Lonchura striata: one gene and its partner. The protein of the gene in region 1 interacts with the protein of each later gene in a pairwise test. Links are inferred from orthologs where the notes say so. Each region holds a gene or a part of one and is shown on either strand. Other genes may lie near its edges.

Region 1 (7,863 bases):
GATTCTGCTTGTAGAAAAACTGTGCCACTGTAATCACAAATCCTCTGCTATATTAATCATAACATGATAGGAAAATGAAGTTCTGATTGAAATGACAATTAAGGGCCATCATCATTCTGCCAAGGATCCCTTAAAAGAACATACGGGTCCCCTCAGTATTGGTGACACTCCTGTGTGACCATACCTGTTTTCTAGGCCATCCACATAGATCTTCCTCCGGCGACGACTATCCTGAGCTGCCTGCTTGTTCCGAATCTTACGACGCACTTTCCTCAGAACTCGCTCCTCAGCCTGCAAGGTTCACCTCATTAACAGCAATCCCAGGGTGTTGGCAATCCCACCCTCTCAGACTGCGCTCACATATCAATCCTCAGCCCTAGTGCTTGTGTCCTCTGTCCTTCGTACACCAGTGAATAAACTGCAAGGCAAACCCTGGCCTTGCTGGTGCAGCCAGCAGCTTCCGTGACTCAGCAAAAGTAAGGCGTACCTAAGGAAAATGAAAAGCACACAGACCACAAGCCACTAGGCAAGCAGGAAAAAATAGCTGCAGGCACTCGTGGTGTAATTGCCTCCTGCAAACAGCCACAAGTCTGGAGACTGACAGCAGCCAGAAGCTGCTGTGCACATGGACAATGCCCTGGACTCGAAAGAAGGAAAAGGACACTGAGCCCAGATGAACACTGCCTGGAATGCAGCATCTGGACAACATATTCTCATCAAGGCACTGTCCTGCAGTTTCAAACCCCTACGATACCTGATACATTAAGAGTGGTCTGCATGGTTCTAGTGAGGACTCACTTTGGTCAGTGGCAGACAGGTTGGTAATGTAACACCTTCTTTCTCCAGGAGCTGCTTCTCCTCCTCTGTCAGGACCAGCTCTGGGAAGTCAGACTAGAAAACAGCAAAAATAAGCCTACTGAGAATGCATACTACAGGGAGTCCATCCGCCAGCAAGGGCACATAGCAAACACACAGAACTGGAATCAGCTCTTCCAAAGTAATGTCATGCTTTCCCTCAGAGATACCCCTCACAGGAGCCAAGTCAGAAGAGAAGGAGAAATGTGAGAAGCAAAGGCTGGGGTCCACAGGCATGGGAGTCAGTACCTGTACAATGGCTCCAGGCACAAGCTGGGGTTCATCTTCCACAGCAACAGCAACGGGGGAACTGGTGCTCTGTTCCAGTGCCTCACTTGTACTTTCCAAACCTACCCATGCCCCTGGGGAAGGAAAGATGAGTCAAATGCTGGGCCTCACTGAGGCAGCACCTGACCAGCCAGCTTTGAGTGGCATGAAATAGCAATTTTATAACAGCAGAAAGCCTTTAATCTTGGCTCTCTCCATCTTTGCCTGACACCCCCAAAACAAACCAGTATGGGACTACTTTTCTCTTTTCTGCCTGCAGCCAGGGCACAAAGAGTCCGTAACATCACTCACCTAGCTCAATGGTAACATCTCCTTCTGCCATGTCAGACCTCACACTTTCCAGTGTAGGCCACTCTTGATGAAGGGAGTAGTTATGATCAACGTGCACAATGTCTCGGCTCGCAAAATTGCTATTGAGGCAATGGGACAGAAGCTGATCCTCAGAAATGCTGCTGTCATTGTTGGCAGGCAAGTAACTGAGCCTGTCTGGTTCATCTTCTAAAGGGCTCAGCAGTGAGCTGATGAAGTCATCCATCTCCTTGTCCAGGAGCTGCAGAGGAATAGCTTTTACTCAGCAGGGAGACAAACCTCCTAAACCTCAGCTCAGCAGCAATTCCTTACAAAGAACTCACCTCAGGCATTGGCAGGCCCCAGTCTTCCAGCAGACCATTCTGCTCCCCTGGGATTTCAGGGCAGGGAGCATCCTCCTTCAGAAGAAAGTCAAGCAGATCCACATCTGCCAGGGCATCCAGTTCCTCTGGGCATGACATCTGAGCAGGACACCCAAAGTGAGCACAGACACAACAGGAGACACCAGCCTTGCTTTAAGGTGTCCCTCAGACCCTATGAAGTATCCCCATGCAATGTCAACAGCAGGAATGGCCAGTTCACAAGTACTTCTCCAGCCAGGTAACATCTCCTTCTGCCATTATAGCACCAATGGTGACAATACAAGGTTATTTGGACCCAGCCACAGGAGCCATGCTCCACCCAGAGCATAAAAGCTGCAGAAAGGACAGGAAAAATGAAACAATCCCAGACTTAATGGTGTGGAGAGCAGGCAAGATTCTGCTGTTCCACAGAAACCTGAAGGTGCCATACCCCTTGGTATGCAGCGAGAGCTTCCTGTGCCAGGAAAATTAAGAACAGTCTTTGCTGAGGTTTTAACCAAAGGGATTCTGTTAATGATTAAATCATGATCAAATTCTAAGTAATCGATGACTGAGCAAAAATTAAATGGCAATCAAATGGTGATTAAGTGATCATTGAAAGGTAATTAATAAGTGATTTGACAGACCTATATGATGACTTAGCAATTCAGACAGCTGTCAAACACAGTACTGTTTAACACACTCGTAATAAGTAAGGGGATGAAACAAATAAATAGATGGATATATATAAAGGTCACTAGCACACAGTATACCTTTAGGCTGAAAGTAAAATGCTCCTTACCTTACTGTAGAGATCAGACACTGGTAAAGAATCTCTCTGCCCTGAGGAGTGACCTGGAGAGCTGTCCCTGCTGCCAGGGACGTCAGGGCCCAGCGGCGTGAGAGCAGCAGAGCTCAGCGGCTGGAGGCGGCCACAGGTACGGGGAGGGCAGTGAGGGACCTGCAGCCAAACACTGCCCTGGGGCTTGTGCACCTGCGTGGCTGTGGCAGCTTTAGCTTGGCCTGGTCCCAGCTCGGGCTGCTGCTGTTATGTCCTGACAAGGCATGGCCCAGGAGCCTCGGTCCCTGAGGAGATGCGGCCTCGCATGGCTCTCGGCGGGATCAGCCCGGCCGGCTTGTGGGCGATGCCTGAGCCAAGGCACCACTCAGGCTGTCAGAGCACAGGCATCCATGGCACCTCTCCATCAGCACTGCTAAGCTTTCACATCTAGCTGTCAAGTGTCACGGTCTGAAAAAAAAAAAAAAACCCAGAAAAAATAGAATACCACCAAAACCACCTGAAACCCCTCCCAAAACCAGAGGGCCAGCGCAGTCCCCAGCCAGGACTGCTGAGCCAGCTGACTAAGGGGAGAGCTGTCAGCAGAAAGTTCAGCAACAAGAGGAAGAGGAGCTGGGCAAATCCGGGCAATGTCAGGGCCCATGGCTTCCACAGACGGTTTCCCCCAGGGAGCGTGCGCCGGGCAGGCAGCACGGGCAGGACGGGAACAGGAGGAGCAGGTGCGGCAGAAAGGCGAGCGGAGCGCAGGGGCGGGCACATCCACCCGAGGAGAACCAAGCAGCCCGTCTCAGCCCCGGCTGCGGGCCGGACCCGGCTGCCCGGACCGCCGGGACCTCCGAGCAGCGGAGCCCCGACCCCCGGTCGAGCCCGCGCCCAGCCGCCCCTCACCTCCGCCTCGCCGCTGCCAACGCCCCGCGGTGACGCCACCCAGTGTCCCGGCGGGCCCCGCGCGCGCCGCCCCGGCTCCTCCCGCGCTGACGCACCGCTCGCCTATTGGCTAGGAGGAGGGGGGCGCGTGGCCGGCGGGAGCGCGCGCGGGCGGCGGGAGCGCGGGGCGGGGCGGGAAAAGAGGGGAGCGGAGGGAATGGGGGAGACGGGTTGAAGGGAGGGCGGTGGGTCCGGGGTCATGCCGAGCCCCGGGGGTGTCCCGGGGCGGGCGGGCGCCCGGGAGTGCGATGTGAGCAGCAGGTGGAGCACGGCCACGCTGCGCGGGCGCGGAACCGTGACCAGCCCCGGGGCGTCGGGCCGAGTCGTGCGGGTACAGAGCGCTGTCCGTGGGAGCGGATTGCCCGTGGCGCGGTGTCCGGATGGAGCGCAGCGCCGAGGCACCGTGCAGCGCGGCGCCGCGTTCTGGCGCATGCGCGTGGCGGGGTGGGGGGGGCGGGAAGCGGGCGGTGCCGGCCGCTCAGCTCCCCTCAGCGACGCGGGGCCGCCGCGCTGCTCCTGCCCGCGCAAAGGTACGGGGACGGAGGACACTCGGTGTCCCGGTAACCGGGGGCTGGGGGCTGCGGAGTGGGGTCCTGCGGACCGGTAGGGCCCTGAGTCTCGGGGGGCTGCCGGAAACGGATGTCCTGGGGACCCTGCCCTGCACCCCCCCGGTACGTGGCGGGGAGGTAGGGAGGAAGCAGCTTTCCGGTTACCGGGGTTTCCCTGCTCCAACCGGGGTTTGTCCGTGGGGCTGCGGTGACCCGAGGGCTTCCGGGGTTCGCTCAGACTTTGGGGCATGCCCAGATCGCCCCTGGCACCGGCGCCGCCGGAGCACCGACACCCGCCGGAGGCTCCGGGGTAACATGGGCTGGCGCGGCCACGTTATCCCCGGCCACGTTATCCCGGCCTTGTACTTGCCCTGCTTCAGCAGGCTCTGGCCTGGAGTCCACCGTGGCGAGGCCCGGGCCAGCATCCCCACCTCGGGGGTCTCTGGGGACCGAGCTGGACAAGCCTGGCCGTGGCCAACAGTCCGCGTAGGCCAGGCGCGGCTTTTCCCGGGGCATCCCGCCCACCCTGCCGGGGACGTGGGGAAAAGCGCGTGGCAAGGGTGTCCGTGTCCTGCTGCGTGGTTTTGGGTGGGGACACCAGGGCTTCCCGTGACCACACCGAAGCCAGGGACGTCACCCGAACAGTTCTCACTAGGACACACAGCTGGCTATAGGCCCCAGGATGGGGCGCTGGGGTGGTTCCCATGCAGGGTGGGACTGGCCCTAATCGGGGAAGGCTTGGGTCCCCACCATATCCCGGCTGAGACAACTAACCAAGCAGGGAGAAACGCTGCCCCATCTTCTGCCTGTTCCCTGCCGGATCCTGCCCGAGCCCCTGCAAGCTCCCCATCCCTTTGAATCTGCCGGCAGGATGTCTACATGCTTTTGCCGTGTCTTCATCGCTGCCTGTTAGACCCATATTTGGTAGCGATAATTGTTTACTCCCTTCTCTCTCTGTGCCTTGCTGCTGAGAAGGGAAGGGCGCATATTTTTGGGATCTTTAGTTTTGCAAAACCTGTGAGCTGCCTAATAAAAGCTCCAGACCACCTGCCTTTCCCTGGATCATAGGGTGAAACCGCCCAAGTGCTGAGTGAATCTGTGATGGTGCATGGGAAGTACCACCCAAGCATCAGTTTCCTTGCTGAATGGCAGTGGCAGGAATTTGATGCTCCCCAAAGTGACATATCCTATTAGATTTAGGGAAGGGGGAGTGGGAAGGCTGAGGAAAATGAAAAGAGGCCTGTGGGGTGCCCTTCTTTTCAGAACTGAGCTTTGCTGGCTGCTGACCAGCAAATGACCCAAAAATGCAGCCATGCTCTCTTCTTTCTTTCACCTTTCTGCCTGTCCAGCAGCACAGTGCTGGGCAAGTTGCTTGTTGTGGGAAGCATGGGTGCTTGGATCAGGGCACTTAGTGCTTTCCAGAGGTCATGACAGCATCCACTGCAACTCAACTCCTGCTCTTGGAGTCCTGTGCTAGAGGGCCAGCTTGCTAAGGATGCAGGAGAGGCTGCAGCTGGGGTCCCACCATGCCTGCCTTCATCATGGGCAGTCTAGAGGTGCCATGATTTGTGCTCCATTCCTTTGGAGGTCAAGCGATGCCCAGCAGGAGCAGACAGGATGTGAGATGTGTGTGAAACATTGGCAGACAATAGCTGGAGCTGCTTCAGCTCAGTGCATGTGAGCAGGCAGGCAGGCTGCGGCTGCGATCCTCCAGCCCAGCTGTTTGGCCCCTGCCCATTTCCCATGCAGAACAGGGCTGCTCTCCCTGAAGGAGTGAGAGGATGCGCCTGTCCTAGCCATGGCTAACAGCGGAGTGGTCATGGGGGTGCAGTGTCTGGCCTTGACAGCCACTCATGCTCCCCAGGAGCAAGCTCAGCCTCAGCTGGAAGAAACTGTCCTCCCATCTGACGTGGACATGCAGCTGGGAAAGAGGAACTGGGTTGAACGGTCTCAGCAGCGTGTGACACTAAACCAGCTGGGGCTGCTGGCTCAGTCTTCCCATTGGTGCAGGGCTGAGCTCTGCCTACCTCTGCCTGCTGTGGCTGTGTATACTGGTCCTGCACCGGAGAACACAGGAGAACCCAGCTAGAGCCTAGTCTGGCTTCTTACCAGCTTAATTTTTGGTGTTGATGGTGTGCAGATGTTTACATGCTGGCCAAGCCACTGTTGCAGACATTGCGTTTTGGTGGCCTGGTATCTTCCTAGCTGTGCCAGTGGCTGTACTGGCTGGGCTGTGCCTGTGGAAAGCCCCAGCACTGGGATGGTTTGCAGCTGATGAAGCTTCCTGCAGCCAGCTCCTAGTCCAGAGGTGGTCTGCAGTGGGGCCTTTCCCAGGTGAAATTTGGTATTACCATAAAAGAAGGAAAAACCAAACCCCATTCCAAAACCTCTTTCAAAGTATCCCTTAAGAGAGAACGTAATAAAAATGGCAGAACTGTTGCATCTGAAGATTTGCAGCTTGTTCTGGAAACTCATCACAAGTGTTCCAGCTGTCCACAGTTGAATTTTGCTTAATTTTTTTTGTCTTTTAAGACGCAAACCCTTCAAATGTAACTGTTACTTCAGCAGTGAAGTCATCCAACAGAAATACAGTAATTCCATCGTGTGACCAAAAACTCACTGTCAGTGGTCCCCAGCAATGACGCGGTTCTTTGGGACACACATGTCCTGTCTGCCCACAGCCCTGCCTGCACTGGCCCTGCTCTGAGGCAGAGCCTGGAGCCTCCACCGCTGTCTTGGTTTTGCTCACCTTGCGTGGGGTGAGATGGAGGAAGCCGCAGCAGCTCCTGGGGAAGTGGTGGGACCCCACCAAGGTTAACCCCTCCCCCTCAGCATTTTGGGATTGGCTCAGAAGCGTGCCTGTGGTTCAAAAAGGGTTGCGCACAACTTGCTATAAAATGCAGAAGTGTGTTAATCCGGCTGCTCCGGTGCCTTATCTGACTTTGCATAATGACAACATGATTGAGAATAGGTTTGACTGAGAATGGGTTTGCTTTCTCTGGAGATGAGCCAGCAAAAATTTGGTGCGTGTTCATCAAGATTTGGTTTGTTTGGATTTTTTTGTTTTTCTTCTTTCTAGGGGTCAGTTTGAGTTTCACTGTCCTTTTTACTCTGGTTTGCAGTGCCAGGCTCCCACGCTGTCTCATTTGTTACATCTAGTTCAGCTTTTCTCTCTCCGCAAGGTTCGTGGAGGGGAAACATCTGTAGGGGCTGAGCCCTTCATTGATGCCCTCACATCAGGCAGCAGATTTGCAAACCTTGTGTGATTAGTTGCCGCGCTTTGCTGACAAATCTCACCCCAATTTAAGGAGGTGTCCTTTTGCAGCAGAGGATGTTCCTGCTCTAGACAGTGCTGTCAGCAAAGTTCAGCTGCTAGAGCCTTAACTTTTTCCATAGAATATGGAAATTGAAGTGTCTCCCTTTTCTCTGAGGTTTTCCTTGATGTCATCAGCATCTTCCCTGCTGAGCTCGAATTTTTTTAAGTGTTTGAGAGTGGGAAGGCATAAGCAGTCATCTTCTTGTGGGGTCTTGGGAAGCACAGTGACCCCTGTGAAGGGTGTGCTAAGGGGTGCCTCTGGTGCAGTGCCTAGTTTTGGGTGGCTTTGTGAGGGCAAGAGGAGGGTGCAGAACTAGTGGCAGATGTCCTGGCTCCTCTCAGTTCCTCTCTACTGTCCGACATCCTGCACTCCTTCCTCCATGGTCTCTGACCTTGTCTTCTCAGTGGCATATTCTCCTTTTCCTGCAGAGGGATGGAAAGCAGCTTTATGCTTAACTTGAGAATATTTTTAGATGTAGA
Region 2 (7,033 bases), on another chromosome or scaffold:
CCAGGGTCACAATCAAAGCCAGGGAGTTGCAGAGTGGCACTGCCAGGGTCAGGTCTGAAACGTGAATTCCGAATGGAGAAATTCAGTTTAATTCGGATTATTCCAAGGGAAGCACAAAACCCCCAAAGAAGCAGAGGAGCTGACCTGTGGAGGCCAAGGTGAGGTAGAAGAGGAGGGATCCGGCCTGGTTGAGGAGGAAGGGCAGCAGGCACTGCAGGACACGGAGGGGCACGGTCCCACCCTGGCACCCCGGGGGCGCAGGGGCGGCACTGCCGGGCCTGGCACGGGCCTGGCACGGGCCTGGCACGGGCCTGGCACGGGCCTGGGGTCCCGGGCACGAGGGGAACCCGCGGGGAGGGAAGGGAGAGGCCAGACTGCAGGAGCCTGAATGAGTTCTTTAGCTTAGTACATATAATTGTTATATTAATTATATAATATTTATTATATTTATTAAATTATATTTATGCTATTCTATTCTATTCTATTCTATTCTATTCTATTTATTATATAATATTATATATATTAATTCTATTATATTAGTTGTATTAATTATATTTTTTATATTATATATATTAATTCCATTATATTATAAATACATGAAAATATATTTATAATATTATTTCTATTACATTATATGTATAAATATATATTAGAAAATGAAATTATATATAACTGTATATAATATATAATATTATTGTTTATATGATATTATACTATATATAATATATACATATATAAAATTATATATAATAACAATATATATTATATTATATTATATTATATTATATTATATTATATTATATTATATTATATTATATTATATTATATTATATTATATTATATTATATTAGTATATTATATATAGTAATTGTATATAATATATAAGATTGTTTTTATATTATGTTATACTATATATAATATATAAACAAATATATATAATTATGTATAATAATATATTATGTTATATATAATATTATTATATGTTATAGTATAGTATATTCTAGTATAGTATATTTTATATATAATATAAAAATTTATATGAAATATGTAATTATATTCTATATAATAACTATAGGTACTATTACATACTATACTATTATATCTAATAACTATATTATAACTTTATTATGATACATTAATATACTATTTAAAGGAGATTTTAAAACTACAAACCTACTTTTTCTAGCTCCCACATCTAACTCCCAACTCGTGCCCCTCTCTGGAGTTCGAACACAGCTGGGTGGGCTTGGCCACCGGGCTCGAAGCATCCTCCCCAAAATCCACCCAAAGAATTCTCCAGGCGCGTTCCAGGTGGGAACGGCGAGGAGCAGAACCGGGAATTGATCCCTGTGCTCCTCCATGGAAACCCTGGGAGAAAGAACCGGCCTGGCACAGCGCCTGGCATGGGGGGGATTGAGCCCGAGGAGGAGGAGGGTGTGAGGAGGAGGAGGGTGTGGGGATGAGGATGAGGAGGGGGTGGGGCCAGGGAAGGGAAGGGAAGGGAAGGGAAGGGAAGGGAAGGGAAGGGAAGGGAAGGGAAGGGAAGGGAAGGGAAGGGAAGGGAAGGGAAGGGAAGGGAAGGGAAGGGAAGGGAAGGGAAGGGAAGGGAAGGGAAGGGAAGGAGCGGCTCTCACCCCGCGGCTCCGGCCGAGCAGCCGCAGCTCCTCCAGCAGCCCCCGCGGGCTCCGCTCCCGCCGCTCCTGCGCCCCCGCCCGCAGCCACGGGCCCGAGGTGCCCCAGAGCGCGGCCACCAGCGCCAGGGACACAGCCTGCCCTGGGGACAGGGACAGGGTCAGGGACAGGGACAGGGACTGGCCTGGGGGACAGGGACAGGGTCAGAGCCTGGCCTGGGGGACAATGGGGACAGGGTCAGGGACTGGCCTGGGGGACAATGGGGACAGGGTCAGAGCCTGGCCTGGGGGACAATGGGGACAGGGTCAGAGCCTGGCCTGGGGGACAGGGACAGGGTCAGGGACTGGCCTGGGGGACAATGGGGACAGGGACAGGGACAGAGACTGGCCTGGGGGACAGGGACAGGGTCAAGGACTGGCCTGGGGGACAGGGACAGTGTCAGAGCCTGGCCTGGGGGACAATGGGGACAGGGACAGGGACAGGGACAGGGACAGGGTCAGAGCCTGGCCTGGGGGACAGGGACAGGGTCAGAGCCTGGCCTGGGGGACAATGGGGACAGGGACAGGGACAGGGACAGGGACAGGGACAGGGACAGAGACTAGCCTGGGGGACAGGGACAGGGTCAGGGACTGGCCTGAGGACAATGGGGACAGGGACAGGGTCAGAGCCTGGCCTGGGGGGACAGCAGGAGCTGGAATTGGGCAATTATCCCCAATATTTAAATGGACCAAACTCCTAAAAATGTGAAAACTTGTGATGCACTGTCCACCTTGGGTCTAGCCAAGGCCAGGCTCTCATGCTGCCCAAGCTGTATCCTGCCAAGGCTTTGAATAAATCCCTGCTTTCCTCTTAGGGTTAGAAGGAAAATTAAGCTTTGTAGGCCCTGGGAAAATACCCTGGGAAAGTGTAGGCCTTGTGCTTGCTAGAACTGCATCTAGCTAGTACATGATAAATGATATAATTGTTAGATGTGATGATTGTTAAGTGATTAAATATAATTACTGTTTAATCGTAAGAATAATCATGATAAACTGCGGTCAGGGCCTTGAGAAAGACCACGAGAAACTCATGCTTGAATAAAGCCAATGTATACAATACAACGATATAAACTGAATAATGAATATACAAGTTATATAACGACAGAATACAAAACACGCTCAGATTCGGGTCTGCACCCCTGATTCCCAGAGATCTCCGATAAAAACACCTGTAGAAAAGCACATCCCGTGATTACGTGCGCTCCTGAACAGCTCACACAGCCACCTTTCCCCCCTTCCCCAAACAAACCCTCCCCGCCGCCATCGCCGCCACTCACCCACGGTCGCCATGGCAACGCCGCGGCACTTCCGGCTTCCTCCCGGAAGTCGCTCAGTTGCCGTGACGTATTTCCGCCATCTCCCCGGAAGTGCCGCTCCCCCTCACGCCTCAGCGCGGCAGCCATGGTGAGACCGGGGTGGCGGCGGGCTCGTTTCTCGCGATTTTTAGTCGCCACCGCTGATTTAACAACTCCCAGCCCCCGGTCCGCGGCTCCTGGGCGTGGGGGGGCGGCAAAGCCGCCCCCCCGCGTCCCAGGAGCCGCGGACCGGGGGCCGCGCTCGCTCCTTTCCTCCTCACCCCCATTTCCCTCGCGCCGCTCATTGATTATTCCATCATTAATTACAGAAACCCATCCTGCTGCAAGGCCATGAGCGCTCCATCACTCAGATCAAATACAACCGCGAGGGAGACCTGCTGTTCACCGTGGCCAAGGATCCCGTGAGTGCTCGGCGTCCCCGGTAATTATCGTTAATTTTAATAATTGATTTATTAATTTATTTTTTTTTTGCCGTCTCCTCGCAGATCGTCAATGTCTGGTATTCGGTGAATGGAGAGAGGTTGGGGACTTACAACGGGCACACGGGAGCTGTGTGGTGTGTGGATGCCGATTGTATCCTTTGATCCTCCCAAAAAAACCGGTTTAATTCCATATTTTAGTGGCTGAATCATTCCCGGCGATTCCTCCTCATTTTCCTCTCAAAGAGGAGCAGCTCACTCTTCTTCTGCCTCTTCTTTTCCCATCCTTTGGGTGTTTTTCCATTGGGAATAAATCACAGATTTGGAATAAATCATAGATTCCCATACGGAATAAATAATATGTTTCCATATGGAATAAAAAATAGGTTTCCATTTGGAAATAAATAATAGATTTCCATTGGGAATAAATGATAGATTTCCATTTGGAATAAATAATAGTTTTCCATTGGGAATAAAAAATAGATTTCTGTTTGGAATAAATAATATGTTTCCATATGGGATAAATAATATGTTTCCATATGGAATAAATACTTTGTTTTCATATGGAATAAATAATAGATTTCCATATGGAATAGGTAATAGGTTTCCATTGGGAATAAAAAATAGGTTTCAATTGGGAATAAAAAATAAATTTCCATATGGAATAAATTATATGTTTCCATATGGAATAAGTAATAGATTTCCATATGGAAAAAATAATAGATTTCTATTTGAAATAAATAATAGATTTCCTTTGGGAATAAAAAATAGATTTCCATTTGAAATAGATAATAGATTTCCATATGGAATAAATAATAAACATCCCAATGCATATTTGGATTTATTGTACCTTTTGCTGCTTCCCTGGATATTTGGGGAGATTTTCCCACGGGCAGCAGAGATAAAAGTGTGGAAAAATGTAAGAAACTGATTCTTTTCTTTTCAATTCATGGGAAAACCATGGGATTTTGCAGTGGGGACACTTGGGTTCTGTGCTGCCTTTCCTGGACTAGGTTTTCCCAAAAGAAACCCCCCAAAAAATCCAATTTTTGGGTGCAGAAACATCCAGCGAGTGGCCGGGCAGTGGAATTTGGGGTGATTTTCCCTCAGCGGTGGCCCAGGGGACACCAGGCACGTTCTGACGGGCTCTGCAGACAACAGCTGCCGCCTCTGGGACTGTGAGACAGGTGAGGCCACCCCAAAATCCCCCTGGGGACACCCCTGGGGGGCAGGACACGGGAATGGATCCCCTGGAGCTGGGGAGGTGTTGGAAGGAATTCTTCCCTCTCAGGGAATTCCCTGGGTTTGGCCTCAGCCCTGGAAGTGTCCCAGGCCACCTGGAGCCACCTGGGGTGGGTGGGAGGTGGCCCTGCCCAGGGCTGGGGGGGATTTTGGTGAATTCCAACTCAAAGCATTCCATGGGGAGCTGGGAATGGCTCCCTGAGGGATCTGCAGCTCCTCCTGCTGTCCCTGAGCTCTGCTGGGGCTGGGGTTGGCACAGCACGGGGATGTGGAGCTGAATCCATGCCTGAATTCCCACCCACAGCATCCCAGGGTCCTGTTCCATGTTGTTTTTAGTGAGGCAATCACTTCCCAGCTCCCTGAAAATTCCTCTTCCCTGTTAAAATGCGAGGCTGGAAGTGGCATAGAGCAGGGATGTGAAACTGAATCCATTCCTAAATTGCCTTCCCACCTAAAGCACTCCAGGATTCTATTCCATGATATTCCATAGTGTTTTTAATGAGGGAATAATTTCCCATCTCCTTGAAAATTCCTCTTCCTTTTCCCTTTTAAAATCTGAGCCTCCCCTGAGCAAGGCTGGGATTGACACAGCACAGAGATGTGGAACTGAATCCATCCCTAAATTCACTTCCAGAGCATTCCAGGATTCTATTCCAGGATCTCCCAGGATGTTTTGAATGAGGGAATAATTTCCAAGCTCCCTGAAAATTCCTCTTCCCCTCCTCTTAAAATCTAACTCTCCCATGAACGAGGCTGGGATTGACACAGCACAGAGATGTGGAACTGAATCCATCCCTAAATTCCCTTCCAAAGCCATCCAGGATTTATTCCATGTTCTCCCAAGGTGTTTTTAATGAGGGAATCACTTCCCATCTCCTTGAAAATTCCTCTTCCCTGTTAAAATCTGAGTTTCCCATGAGCAAGGCTGGAAGTGACACAGAGATGTGGACCTGAATCCATCCCTGAACTCCCACCCAGAGCATTCCAGGTCCCACTCCCTGCCCTCCCAGCTGGTTTGGAACGAGGGAATGAGTTCCCAAATCCTCCCTCCCATTCCCTTGTGCTCCCCCAGGGAAGCAGCTGGCCCTGGTGAAGACCAGCTCGGCCGTCAGGACGTGCGGCTTCGACTTTGGGGGGAACATCATCATGTTCTCCACGGACAAGCAGATGGGCTACCAGTGCTTCGTCAGCTTCTTCGACCTCCGGGACCCCAGCCAGATCGGTGAGGGGCCAGGGAATCCCCCTCAGTGATCCCACTCTGCTTTTTGGGGTTCAATCCCACCCCCTTCCCATGGGCAGGGGTTCCTTCCCCCGTCCCAAATTGCTCCAGCGCTTCCAGGGATGGAGCAGAGGAGATGCTTCACTAAAAAAATTCTCTTTGCTGCGTGGCTGGGAGTGGTTTGGGGGTGATCACGTCAGCAAAGGACACAATTCCTTCCCTATTTCCCTGTGGGATTCCTTTGGGAACAGCAGAATGCTGCCCCTGAGCTCCACAAATTAAAAGAACCAAGGAATCCAGGCTTGAAATGCTGGAAAAGCCCGAATCACCAAAAATCCCCCCCTTGAAATGCTGGAAAGGCACAAATCCCCAAAGAATCCATGCTTAAAATGCTGGAAAGGCACAAATCCCCAAGGAATCCCCCCTTGAAATGCTGGAAAAGCCCAAATCACCCAAGGAATCCATTCTTGAAATGCTGGAAAAGCCCAAATCCCCCCTTGAAATGCTGGAAAGGCACAAATCACCAAAGAATCCCTCCTTGAAATGCTGGAAAAGGCCAAATCACCAAAGAATCCATGCTTAAAATGCTGGAAAAGCCCAAATCCCCAAGGAATCCCCCCCTTGAAATGCTGGAAAGGCACAAATCCCCGAAGAATCCATGCTTAAAATGCTGGAAAGGCACAAATCCCCAAGGAATCCCCCCTTGAAATGATGGAAAAGCCCAAATCACCCAAGGAATCCATTCTTGAAATGCTGGAAAAGCCCAAATCCCCAAAAATCCCCCCTTGAAATGCTGGAAAGGCACAAATCACCAAGGAATCCCTCCTTGAAATGCTGGAAAAGCCCAAATCCCCAAGGAATCCCCCCTTGAAATGCTGGAAAAGCCCAAATCCCCAAAAATCCCCCCTTAAAATGCTGGAAAAGCCCAAATCCGAGCCGAGCAGGGGACCTAAGGGGACAAAGGGTGGGCGCAGCCCCTGAGGGTGGCTGTGGCTCCTCCCCACAGAGAACAACGAGCCCTACATGAAGATTCCCTGCAGCGACTCCAAAATCACCAGCGCCGTGTGGGGCCCGCTCGGGGAGTTCATCATTGCTGGCCACGAGAACGGGGAGCTCAACCAGTTCAGTGCCAAGGTCAGGGCCTGGGGCAGCATTCCTGGGGGGATC

What was found. The genes of interacting proteins can lie anywhere in the genome.
Region 2: the proteins of CREB3 (region 1) and TMEM234 interact in a two-hybrid assay, tested with the Homo sapiens proteins (2 studies listed by BioGRID and IntAct). The two-hybrid records come from large-scale screens. The link is inferred for Lonchura striata from reciprocal best matches to the Homo sapiens genes CREB3 and TMEM234.

Annotation. Positions count from the first base shown.
Region 1 is NC_134642.1:39,588,258-39,596,120, reverse strand, and holds the start of CREB3 (cyclic AMP-responsive element-binding protein 3), read right to left. Parts: upstream 3,007-7,863; 5' UTR 2,596-3,006; intron 1,914-2,595; coding exon 1,776-1,913; intron 1,694-1,775; coding exon 1,435-1,693; intron 1,218-1,434; coding exon 1,105-1,217; intron 892-1,104; coding exon 799-891; intron 292-798; coding exon 185-291; intron 1-184. UniProt on the Homo sapiens protein: Endoplasmic reticulum (ER)-bound sequence-specific transcription factor that directly binds DNA and activates transcription. Plays a role in the unfolded protein response (UPR), promoting cell survival versus ER stress-induced apoptotic cell death.
Region 2 is NC_134628.1:1,021,083-1,028,115, forward strand, and holds the start of TMEM234 (transmembrane protein 234), read right to left. Parts: upstream 2,961-7,033; coding exon 2,948-2,960; intron 1,775-2,947; coding exon 1,635-1,774; intron 212-1,634; coding exon 145-211; intron 55-144; coding exon 1-54.